3 linked regions of the Schizosaccharomyces pombe genome follow. The protein of the gene in region 2 interacts with the protein of the main gene of each other region in a pairwise test. Each region holds a gene or a part of one and is shown on either strand. Other genes may lie near its edges.

What was found.
Region 1: the proteins of mam2 (region 2) and gpa1 interact in a two-hybrid assay, tested with the Schizosaccharomyces pombe proteins (2 studies listed by BioGRID, with this or other methods).
Region 3: the proteins of mam2 (region 2) and rgs1 interact in a two-hybrid assay, tested with the Schizosaccharomyces pombe proteins (one study listed by BioGRID).

What each region holds. Positions count from the first base shown.
Region 1 is NC_003423.3:2,327,702-2,332,403, reverse strand, and holds gpa1 (G-protein alpha subunit), read right to left. Parts: upstream 2,695-4,702; 5' UTR 2,067-2,694; coding exon 843-2,066; 3' UTR 514-842; downstream 1-513. Other genes in the region: SIN component Cdc14, read right to left, coding at 1-134; sec28 (coatomer epsilon subunit protein), read right to left, coding at 3,988-4,702. UniProt on the Schizosaccharomyces pombe protein: Implicated in the mating and sporulation pathway. Probably coupled to mating-factor receptors. May act in concert with Ras1.
Region 2 is NC_003424.3:4,778,971-4,782,437, forward strand, and holds mam2 (pheromone p-factor receptor Mam2), read left to right. Parts: upstream 1-1,717; coding exon 1,718-2,764; 3' UTR 2,765-2,952; downstream 2,953-3,467. Other genes in the region: SPOM_SPAC11H11.03C (uncharacterized protein), read right to left, coding at 211-514, 553-697, 1,053-1,215, 1,271-1,279; protein Fta6, read right to left, coding at 3,077-3,225, 3,273-3,303. UniProt on the Schizosaccharomyces pombe protein: Receptor for the peptide pheromone P-factor, a mating factor of S.pombe. Pheromone signaling is essential for initiation of meiosis in S.pombe; P-factor signaling alone may be sufficient.
Region 3 is NC_003424.3:677,866-682,408, reverse strand, and holds rgs1 (G-protein-signaling regulator Rgs1), read right to left. Parts: upstream 2,607-4,543; 5' UTR 2,234-2,606; coding exon 788-2,233; 3' UTR 519-787; downstream 1-518. Other genes in the region: Rheb GAP, hamartin Tsc1, read left to right, coding at 4,171-4,543. UniProt on the Schizosaccharomyces pombe protein: Negatively regulates pheromone signaling during mating. Acts in a negative feedback loop that is essential for the mating process. This loop acts to down-regulate cellular sensitivity to pheromone. Activated by ste11.

The sequences.
Region 1 (4,702 bases), on a different chromosome or scaffold from region 2:
CTTGGAATTTTATCATCATGACTAGGTTTCGCAACATGATATACAATAGATTCGACTTGACGCAAACCAATTCGAATTAGCTTTGGATTCCTCATACACAAATGCTGTTTAGCATTGTTTAATAGATCTTCCATACCGGATCATTATTTACTCATGCCAAGCGGGCAATAAAAATCCTTATTATAAATAAAAGTAAATTGAATCTTCGTTTAGTTAAAGATAAAAAAGAGACTCTATATTCGTTCTTAGTAATGATATAAATAGTAGGGTGGAGTGTTGAAGCAGCTACATTAAATTGCTATTTTCTAAAACTTGAGGTTTTGGGAGAGAAAACACCAGCTTGCTAAGATAGGATACAATTGAATATTAACAGGCGAATTGGAGCCATATTTGAAAAAGGGGCCTAAAATAACAAAACAAGCAACATCGAGTCCTTATAGATTTATATTTAGTTTACGATCAAATCCGCCTAATTTAATTATATTAATATCAATGGGTTTAGTTTGTCTCAAACGGTTGACATGAAAAAATTTAGATATTAAATTAAACAATAGTTATGTATTAATCGTAAAATTATCAAATAACAAAAACTGCAGTTAATTTTGAGCTATTTAAAACAATATAAGATTACACGAAGCTTCGAAGAAGCTATGAAATAAAACAATTAGAATGCACTAATTAACAGTTTCGATGGAGAAATAACACATGAAGTGCATACAAAATGCAAGGAAATTAACTAGAGACACCATTCACGGAAAAGTATAGAGGCTTTTCCTAGAGTGCGAATGAAAGTAGAGAAATGAGACAGAAAAGATTATGAAGATAGTTAAGGAAAAATTCATCTAAAACATAAGTGACTGTAGATTGTTGGACATAATCGTATCTTGAACGGATACCATTACCCTTTGGAGCAAACTAGTGTCTGTAGCTGTGGTAAAATGGCAATAGCAACTACGAGAAGCGATGCGATTAAGACTTTCAAACTTTAAGTAAAAGTAATACATACCGCTTCGAACTGCGTTGTCGGCAAGAGGGCATTGAGTTTGTACGAATGTTGGTGTTGAACCAACTTCTTGGTAATCAGGAAAATGCTTCTGGATGGGGGAAATGTGAACCTTTCTTTTAAATAAATCAAGTTTATTTAGAAAAAGTATCATTGCTGATTCTGAAAACCAGCTAGAGTTACATATGGAATCCCATAATAATAACGCCTCCTGCATCTGATTTCCTGAATTGTCCTCTACAAGGCATTGATCGTAACCTGCCAAAGAAACGAGAAACAACAATGCAGTGACATTTTCAAAGCAATGAATCCATTTTCTGCGCTCTGATCTCTGTCCTCCTACATCAAAAAATCGGTAATGATGACGATTTAACAGAAATGTTTCTTCTGATATACCGGTCGTCTTGATACGACAGTGAAGGATATCTTGATCAGAAGGTATATATTGTGGGTCAAAAATTCGATCAATGTGATCTTGATAGTAATAAAAATTGTCTAACAAAGAGAGGTTGGTACCACAACTTTGCACCGTACGAAGTTTGGTATCCAATGTCAAGGCATGAACAGCTTCATATATTTCTGGAGAAAATGGCTCATTGGGTTGAGAAGTGTGTTTTCTTAGGATAACTGCCCGATACTTCTCATTTTCCGGAAGTAAAGAGACATTACTATTATCCATAGCTTCAAGAAGAAGACATAGAGAGGAGATGATATTTTCAAAAATCATCACTCGATACTGCTTTCTAACTACTTGACTAAAACCGGGGCTATACAATAATCTCATCTGCTTCATAATGGTCGTTTTCCCACTATCACCGGCGCCTAAGAGCAAAACTTTAATGTCATTTCCACCTGAAGTAGAATTTCCTTTTACGCGTACTCCAGAACTTTCCACATTTTGTGGTTTTCCACGCAGGACGATATTAAGCCAGTTTTCAAGGACTGGAACTCGAGCGTTTTGACTTCCAGTTGTAGAGCTGTTTGAGGTTTGCGTATCTGAAAGCTTCTTTTGAATGACTTCTCCTCCTGATGTATCAGCGTATTTACTCGACATGCATCCCATGGTGAAAAGGCAGCTACAGATTCCAAATCCCCACAAGGAGATAATTCAAAGTCGAGACAAAGAAAGTTAATCTCCGCAATTTTCTGTAAAAACAGCAGAAAAGGTGATAAATAAGGATTTTTGGATTAAAAAAGAAATAATAGATGTCGTTAAATCTCAAATATTTGTGAAGTGGACCCAACTATAAGCAAAAAACCCAATTGCCAGATAATTCCAAGAGATCCAAAAGAATACTATTATATAGTAAAAAGAAACTATTATTTAAACAATTTGGTTAAAAAAACCAGGAGGATTCTTTGAGAAAAATCGTGTAATGACACAAACAAACTTTGGTATTCGTAAACAGTCAAATTTATTATACTATCACGGTTGCGATAAGGTATTAGATGAAATTAAATCAAGAACTGTTTAATTTTTGAATGAGAAATCAGTGGATCAACTCCTTTAATGTAAACAAAGCAACCCAAAAAACAAAATTGCGTACAATTTACAAAGAAACCAGGGTTTTAATGAGCAGCAATGGTCTCCAACTATAAAGGGAGTTACAAATACCTGTTCTCCTTTAATACTTCCTAAATGGATACTAAGATTGCTAAGCCGTCAAAGAAGTTGAGATGTTGAAAAAGGTAACTACAATGCGTGTACACTATCAGGTGGTAAGCGAGCTATTAGAATTCGTAAGAATGAAACAATTACAGAAACAAAGGCTTTTTACTTATTGGAAAAGTGAAATCGTTATACTTTCACTGGTACGTGCTTATAGTGTCTTGTCGATTTTAACAGAATATTTTTTTGTATGTCTAGTGATCCAACGGACCTGGCAAATGTCAACAGTCCGAATAAAAGAAGTTTCTACAACAAAGACCTTATCTAAAAAGTTAAGTTGATAGTACTTCGGTGTATTTACATCTGCATTTTTCTCTAAGAGCAACATCCTCACAATATGTGCCCGCTTTCAATGCTATAGTGCGAATTTGGAAGAATGGGGAGGATGAAAATGTACAAATATTTGACAGTATGAACTTCAACATCATTTATTAATAGGATTCAGAATGAACAGTAGCAAGTATCTCTTTTACTCTGCGTACCGATTCAAATCTTAATACAACAAATGCGTGTATGTAGTATGTGTTAATACTACACAACAATCCAACTATTTTGAGCGAAGTAACGCTAAATTTACAAAGAGAGTTACAAACTGATACGTTCATACATGCTTATTTAAGTGTTCGATGTCGCAAAAATGAACGTTTGCTAGTTAAAGAGTTTTGATACATGTTGGGGTTAAGCAAATGTTGGCATATATAGTTGTAATCTGTCATGGTGCCACTGCCGTTTGAGCAAGTTCATCTTCGATTCTTAAAGTCTTATCGTTTAATATCGGTTTTCTTGCTTTTTCCAAATTCCAAACACCTGTGTATTTCAAAACATCTTTCTTTTCTATTTGTAAAGGCAAACTTGTTGCTTGTCATTTTGTGGCACTGCAGGTTTTGAGTAATTTTGGACAAGAACCACCTATTCTAGATTTTTAAAAACAAATATATAGGTGGATAGTCATAATAGTTCATTTTTAATTAATGAATGTATTTGATAAATAAAAGTAAACGGTTTAAAGACGCTCCTGTTGTGACGGCGTTCATTTAAATGTTTCATTTCGAGATATATTCGGGTGCGTTTTCTTGTTATTATGTCTACATGAGTCTTCTTCTGCATGCGGTTAAGTATTTCTAATTAATTAGTTTAATACCTTTACTTCTGGTAAACTTGAAATTTATCGAGGCAATACTGGATTGACTTGCTTTGCCAGACAGATCAACGAGCCATTACTTGAGTGAAGCAATAGTCAATGAATAAATACTAAAAATGCAAACATTTGAAGTTTATTAATGGATTGAAGATTCTAAACAATATTATTATTGGATTAAGCCGTACTCAAAAATTGAGTTGAAAAAGTATCAAATTCTTGCGCCTTTTCATTTAAATGATCGTTCAACTTCAGTGTAGAAGAATTTGTAAAAGATGAAAGTATATTCTTGGCTTGAGAAGGAGCATCAGGGCCTAAATCCGTGATTGCAGTAGTCATATTTGATAGTGCCTCCTCGTAATTTGGTTGAGAATCGAGGGCAGTTTTCAGCGAGCTCAAAGCCTCTTCAGGTCTCAACAAGCATATGTCTGCACACGCCATACCAGTTAAAGTCATTGGATTGCTATCAGTTCCGTTTAACTCTTCAAAAACATAAAATGCATCATTATAGGATTCGACGCCTCCACTAACTATTTTAATCCAAGATTGTGCCAGCTGTAGTACAATTTCTTCATCAGCCCAATCCAAAGCCTGTTTCAATGTCTGTTCAGCAGCTTCAATTTTGTGCTCTCGTAAATGAATGTATACTTGAAGCGCCACCGCCTCCAAGTTCTCTACTGACTTCTTTAATAAATCCATTGCATCATCAAAAGAACCATTTTTAATTTGAAAAATAGCTCCTAATGTTTGTACCACACTGTCTGAATTGCCATGCTGGTCAATAATTAACTCCATGTTCCCCTCCCCAGCCAGCGCCAGAATAGCAGCTGATCCAGGCGTTTTTTGAGTTAAAATACTTTGGATTGATTCTAAACTTTCACCTAAAGCTAAT
Region 2 (3,467 bases):
TTTCAATATTTATTTGAAATAAAAAAAAAATCCTAAGGTTGCAACAAGCAAAAAAATCTAGAGCCTAAATTACCCAATAAATACAATAATGACCGAATCGAAATAAAAGATTAATACACAGACACCTGGCTAATAATTTCACCGCCTAAAATTTTGTTGACCCAATTTGGTATCCATGGTCGCCTGTGTTAACAAGCAAAAAACAAACTGTTACATGATGGCACAACATGTTTTTAGACGAGGAAAACAATTCGTAGCAATTTCTTCAACAATTTTTTCAGGCTCAACTTGATCAGTCAAAGTTGAATGTTGAGGACGAGAATATGCTTCTTGAGGTTCTTGAATGCAATTGAAATTTGGTTGAATAGGTGAAGTCGCAGATGGTAAATAAACATAAATGCGGCCTTCATTTACTTCACTGTTGTATTTTATAGATTGCTGCTCAAGCATTCGCACAATTGCAGGTCGTAGTTTTTCCACATGATTAGCACTGTGATTACCGCGCCCAACTATACTAAAAAAGAGTTAATTTTAATTAAGCGTAAAACATACATATGTAAATGATTGTCACCACGTCGGATGCAATTCTCAATTCGCTGTTGTACTGCTTGTACAGCTTCATCGATGTACAGACCATGTAAATCAATTTCATCGGGATTGCATTGAGAGTTTTTATATAAATAAATGGCTGAAGCCGCTATCAATAATTAGCACAGTCATAAAACACTTCTATTTTGTTTTCTCGAAGCCAATATGGGTTTGAAGAAACCCAGTGTTTTAAGTTCTATAAAGAAGCCAACCCATTTTTCTCTTAAATCACATGGCTTTATTCAGCTGTTTCAGAGCTCTTCACTTTGTACAAAGAATAGTTCATTGTCATAACTACTATTGTTTGGCGTATTGTCTGACCGATAACTACCGGAATTAGATACCAAACAAAAAGAGTGGAAAAGAAAGAAAGAAAAATCTCATGATGGGTTTGTTTTTCTATTATTGAAAGTTTATAGGGTTTGAACTAACAATCACAGCTTTTAATGAGAATTTGAGATTACCTTGTCGATTATAATTTTCCATACGCTCTCCACATAACTTTCCTTCTTGGCTTAGTTCATGCGCTTTAGCCTTGTTTCCTGCTGAATAGGCATGCTGAGCTTCTTGAAATAAATACCCTCGTTTTTCAGCCTCTTTTGACGCCAACGCTCTAAACTTTTCATACTTCAATAAAGTTAGTTACACCTAATTTCTCCTTATCTCTTTGATTAATAATTACCTCCTCCATTTCTATTGTTTCAGGTGTGGTACTAGACAATGAAGTTAACAATAGGAAATCTGAACAATGGAGTACCACAAAAAATGTTATATAATTCAGCTAGATCTCTGACAAAGATGAAAAATAATTTTTAAGAACTGTCTAAACAATAGTAAATCCTTTTGTTTTTTGTTTCGAATCTGTTTAAACTACAATTTTGCAATTGTTCGAACAGCATTCCATTGGTGTGTTTTGAGTCCATATATTTGGAAATTTGCTGTATATCTTCAAGCGAAAATTTAACTTTTGAGACATAGAAGTGTTTTCTGGAAATTCTAAACAAAGAGGAATTATTGGCATAACAGTTCATTGGGAAACTGAGTCATCAAGTGCTTTACAAATCACATTTTTAAACTTCTTAAACTAAAAAAATCTCGGGTTTATATTGTTCTTGCTCCCTCTGACATTATGAGACAACCATGGTGGAAAGACTTTACTATTCCCGATGCATCCGCAATTATTCACCAAAATATTACCATTGTCTCTATTGTAGGAGAGATTGAAGTGCCAGTTTCAACAATTGATGCATATGAAAGAGATAGACTTTTAACTGGAATGACTTTGTCTGCCCAACTTGCTTTAGGAGTCCTTACCATTTTGATGGTTTGTCTATTGTCATCATCCGAAAAACGAAAACACCCAGTTTTTGTTTTTAATTCGGCAAGTATTGTTGCAATGTGTCTTCGGGCCATTTTGAATATAGTGACCATATGCAGCAATAGCTACAGTATCCTGGTTAATTACGGGTTTATCTTAAACATGGTTCATATGTATGTCCATGTGTTTAATATTTTAATTTTGTTGCTTGCACCGGTCATCATTTTTACTGCTGAGATGAGCATGATGATTCAAGTTCGTATAATTTGTGCACATGATAGAAAGACACAAAGGATAATGACTGTTATTAGTGCCTGCTTAACTGTTTTGGTTCTCGCATTTTGGATTACTAACATGTGTCAACAGATTCAGTATCTGTTATGGTTAACTCCACTTAGCAGCAAGACCATTGTTGGATACTCTTGGCCCTACTTTATTGCTAAAATACTTTTTGCTTTTAGCATTATTTTTCACAGTGGTGTTTTTTCATACAAACTCTTTCGTGCCATATTAATACGGAAAAAAATTGGGCAATTTCCATTTGGTCCGATGCAGTGTATTTTAGTTATTAGCTGCCAATGTCTTATTGTTCCAGCTACCTTTACTATAATAGATAGTTTTATCCATACGTATGATGGCTTTAGCTCTATGACTCAATGTCTGCTAATCATTTCTCTTCCTCTTTCGAGTTTATGGGCGTCTAGTACAGCTCTGAAATTGCAAAGCATGAAAACTTCATCTGCGCAAGGAGAAACCACCGAGGTTTCGATTAGAGTTGATAGAACGTTTGATATCAAACATACTCCCAGTGACGATTATTCGATTTCTGATGAATCTGAAACTAAAAAGTGGACGTAACTTACGCCTGAATGTATCTTTTTTGATAATTCCTAATACTGGCTCAATAACAGTCCCAAATAACATAGACGGTTTTTTTACGATAGGCTTGTAATCATAATTTGCTCAGAGGGAAGTTTTCTAATGGTTTTTTTTTTTTCGCTTCATGAACAATTGTTTACTATAAACATCAATGAAATTATATGATTATAATAACTTATTATCATGAAAACTTCAAGTCGTACTTCACAAACACTTATTAAAACAATAGTGAATGAACTGCCTTCGTAATCTATAATGAACTATAATGTTTTGAGTCTCCAAGTGCTTACCTTACGAACTTTTTTTTTTATTTAAAGCTTCTTGTACCGTAGAAGCCATATCATTCATCGAAGAAGCTAATTCCTTTCTAAGCATCGTTTGCTTTTGTACTTTGGCCGATTGCATTAGCAGTTCTTCCAGACGTGATTTAAACGTTTCCACTATATACACGTAAGTATTGAGCTATTAAATAAAAATTATAACCAACCTGCTGACAATAAAATGTATTTATCCTCCATTTATTTTTATCAAATATTGTATCGAAATGTTTTAGCTGCGAAACGTTACACTCCTTAATTTAGTAATAGCAATATAATAAGGATCTTTAAACCGATATGTGTTATTCTCAAATTGCATTGCTCCACTTATTTCAGTAAACAGATGACAAATATTCAATAATGGT
Region 3 (4,543 bases), 4.1 Mb from region 2:
ACATTTTTCAGTCTATAATTTTCAGAATTAAGTAACCTGTGGATTCTAATCCCATTCAAGAACATAGAAATCTGGTGAAAAAAACAAGGTTTATAAATGATTATCAACTAAATATTTTCATAATTTTTGGTTAACACAAATAAATTGAGAAACCCTGAGACCTTCAAAAATATTACTATGGCATACGTTGTCCAAATTATATAGCCTTAGCTAAATGTAAAAGTAGAGTAAACACTTAAACTCGATTTTATTGCTCATAATTTAATGAAAAATTATTGTGCTGATGCTGGTTAATGACTATGTTCTTTAGGCGTTGTCAACTTTATTTAAATTCAATTTCTTTTGATGAGGGTTAGTTCAGTGTTTGAAGCTTCTGGCGAAAAAGAGTTTAAAAGAGGTTGAAATTTTAATTAAGCCAGTTAATTTCAAATTCGATTTTCGTTTAAGTGTTCGGATCTTTATATAGATCATAGTTACAAGATTTATCATCTCGATATTCAAATGTTCACCGAAAATAATAATGCTTAATTCATATATTCATTTCGGATTTTCTCTACTCAGTTAGCAAATATGTTAGCAAAGCATTTATAGCCTTATAAGTTCATCCTTGAAACATAAGCATATGATTCTTGTTCGAGAAAACGGAAGCATCAGAGCATAGCGATGGAAAGGATCAGTAATAGACACGTAATGAGATAAAATAAAAATAATAATGCAAATAAGAAATATGTACAAAAACAAGAGGAACTGCTAATGAATGATTTAAAACACGATTGTTTTCTATGCATTAAATACCGAGCCCCCCATTCAATTCAAGAAATTTCAATAAGGAATCGCCGGCCATCAGGTCTAATACGGCTGTTTGCGCCTCTAATAAAAGAATGTGAATTAACTGGAGCCATTCATTTAGGGGTTCAACTTCCATGGCTAAGGCCATATGGTTGGTTATTTTTTCATAAAGATCACTGGGAAGATTGACGGCGTTAGGTGCATTAGATGAAAGAAAGCAATTGTAAATACCGCATGCATGAGCAAAACTTTCGCGAATTGCTTCATGATCATTAGTTTCATTAGCATGAGAAAAATAGTCATTAAATTCGCAAACTTCAGAATAGAATCGTTGATTTTCGTCACAAAAATTTTTTTTCAGAAATTCAAAGAAATAGGTTTGTAGATTCGGCTTTCTAAGAATGGTTTCCAGGATTTCCTTATTGGTGGATCCTTTTTCGACTTCATTTATTTTATTAATTAATTTATTATTGGAGACATTTTTAGTCCATCCTAGAGTCGCAATTCCCTTTCCAGTCAAAAAATAGGAAACACCCTTTGCATAGCTAAACTTTAAAGGAGTCTCGGAATTATTTTCGTAAGCAATGTATGAATGAATTAACAAATCGCTAGCAACAGTTTCCATTTCCGACCAGTCTAGGAGCATAGTGTTACACATAAGCCATTCAGCTATGTCAATGCCAAACATTTGGTATTTGGTGACTTTGCTTAAGGAGTCTTTTGGAGAGGGACTTGAAACGGAGTAAACGGGTACCAGAAGAGGGTTTTTAGATTTCCCAATTTCATGGACGCTTCCAAGCATACGTACCAGCAACATTTCACAAAAAGAAGAATCCTTAAGTATTTGATCGGTACTTGAAAAGCGCGAAATGGAAACAATGACGGGCGCAGAATGATTCCATTTGGAAGCGTAAAGCTCGGCTTGAGAATTATGTCCGTTATGTTGTAGAAACTCACTAACAACAGAGTAACCTTTCCTTGTAAGTTGAAGAAGACATTTTTCGTTTGAAAATTTTCTAGCCGATGGGTTATTTACAATTTGCAGCAAACGAGCATTTAAAAATGTATTACATAAACATTTAGCAGCAGTCTTAGGTATCGTAAATTTGGTAGTAGACTTTAAGACTTTACTGCCGCATCTACTTTTAATGCGGTTTACCTGACTCAGCTGAAGATTTTCCAATGTTGAAAGCAATTGCAATAAGGTACAAGAGTTTTCCACATATGAGAATCTGTACCTGTTCCGAGAAAAATTCGTAGAAATTACCATCGTCGAGAAGAGCTCCAAAAAGTCCTTGCTATAGGGTCTACCATTAGAGGTAATTTTCATTAATCGAGAACATTGTTGACGTTTATCGCCGGAATCTATTGAATTTCCGTTGCGATAAGACGTAACAGCTTCATAACTGGGCGGTGGTGAAGAAGGGTTATGAAGGGCGGGCATCCAAAGCTGATTCTTACTTTTACGAATTTGTAGCCTTTTATCATAAATAATAAAGTGATGAACAAAAGAATTGTGATCTTGCTAAGCGAAAAAGCGACAGAGATCGGGCAGCCAAGCACAATGGAGTGTTAAATATTGTTTCTTTTATTTTTTTAAAAGATAAAAGAGAAGTACAGAACTCAAATAAGATAAAAGAAATTTAAATATATAGTAATAGTCCCACTTTCTTGATTACCGTCAATTTTTATAATCAATTACGGGTAATTCGATACTAAATCAGGTCTCCAGCTGTTTTCAATAGGTCTGATCCCTATTAAATTTAAAATCGAATGAAGGATTGGAGCAATTTTGTAAACGTCGATATAGGCACACTGATGAAAATTCGGGAAATGCCTTAGTATTTATACTTCGAAGTTTCCCATCTAACCATTGCTATACGCTTTCTTTTAAACAAAGAAATCATTAAATGGCGAACAATGGGAACTTTAACGGAACAAAGAACATTGTGCAATTGATTTGTTTACCCCAACAAATTAACAGTGAGAAAGCAGAACAAAGAAAACAGGTAGCAATTTCCACCTTTCGTCAACTTATTCCGAAAGGGGTTTTAATGAATCGGTAAATTTCATGTGATAACACCGATTGAATAATAATAAAAAAAGAATCAAAATAAGACATTTAAACAAGGATATGCAGTCGCTTGCCTATTTTTTGAAAGGAAATATTATATAAACTAGTAGAAGGAGATATGCTATGGCTGGATAATTCACAGATGGTTGGTAAATAAAGCTTACCCAGCACTCCTGGAGACTGGGGAAAAACAAAAAGTAAAAGAAGTAAGCAAAAAAGGATTATAAACAGTTACAGATATTTTGATACTTCTTAGTTGTTCACTGCATCTCTCCTGTTAGTTCCATTGGGTACTGAAATGACCCCAAAATATGCAATGAAAATGAAATGGCTTTTGTTATGAAACTTTACATCGCCAACTTGGAAGACTTTAAGATATAAATTAAAAAATATTGGTGTTTGTAATTATTTACAAGCACCGGCTTTCCCTTTTCCATGACTATATTCTTTTCTACTTTGCGCCTTGCAACGCTTCTTACACCTGCCCTATAAAAGTTTTTTTTTATTAATGAAATATTTTCTCTCTAAGTGACTGTAACACACTGTGGAATAACATAGCAGTTAAGAGTATGTCGTTAAAAGTGCTTGAATATGTTACCATAATATTAGACCGACTCAAATTATTTGCCCTCTAACTTCCTTTGAAAGAAAAGTTCCCTAGGAATCCTTAATAGTAAAACCGTTTTCTTTTTATTTTTACATGTTTATTCAGAGAACTCTCAATGTGTTTTCGCATTGTTTGCTTTCGTATTTCCTCTGTGCTGAAAATGCGAACACTGCCTACTATACTGTATAGTCCTAGAAATCAATACTTAATACATTCTTTAAATTTTGGAGATGGATCAAGTACCATGGTATAGATGATGTTTACATAATTTGGATAAAAATTACAACTTACTTTACTACTTATGATTCCTTCAAATAAAGCTTGTTTAAAACAACGTTCCTCAATTCAATTTTTAGCTATATAAGTGTAATTATAAATACTTCTTGGTATTCTTAACGAGTATTTTAGGATATTTATAACTATTTACAATAAATTTATTATACTATGTACATTACACTAAAAAATATCATTGCAGTACTATCGTATCTTAAAAACGAATTACGACCTGTATGGTTGACATGTAATCTAGTTAAAGGATTTTTGGATAGCGCTGTATAATTTGGTTGAAAATGCAAAGACTAATTAAAAAAATGTGGCAGACTACGCTATCCTCGTTACGTTTATCAATGCTGCCAAGACTTGCTATCAGTATAATGTCGCATAGTTGTATATCAACGTTGACTTTGCCAACTTTGTACGAATGCCGCTGCAATCGCTAGTCAAAGCATTATGGAACGTCCTTCATGAAGAAGAATCGGAAGGCTATCCCGATTTGACTGAGTTAATTGCGGAAGTTGAGTCGTATCAGCAGCGTTATCCCAAACAAAACCCCACTAACTCACAAAAAATAAGACACATCTTGGACGAGATCTACGAAAAGACGCCGTTCAATAATACAAGGCGACGGATACTATGGCTAGCTGTGTTGAAAACGGTTATACCGTTGTTGATTTTGGATCGCCAAGCAGTTGGTGAATGGTGGGACCAGATCTTTTTTCCTTTCTTGAATTCTCCTACCCAATTGAAACCGGTATTTAGTGACTTGAAAAGTATTTTATTTTACATTTTAATTT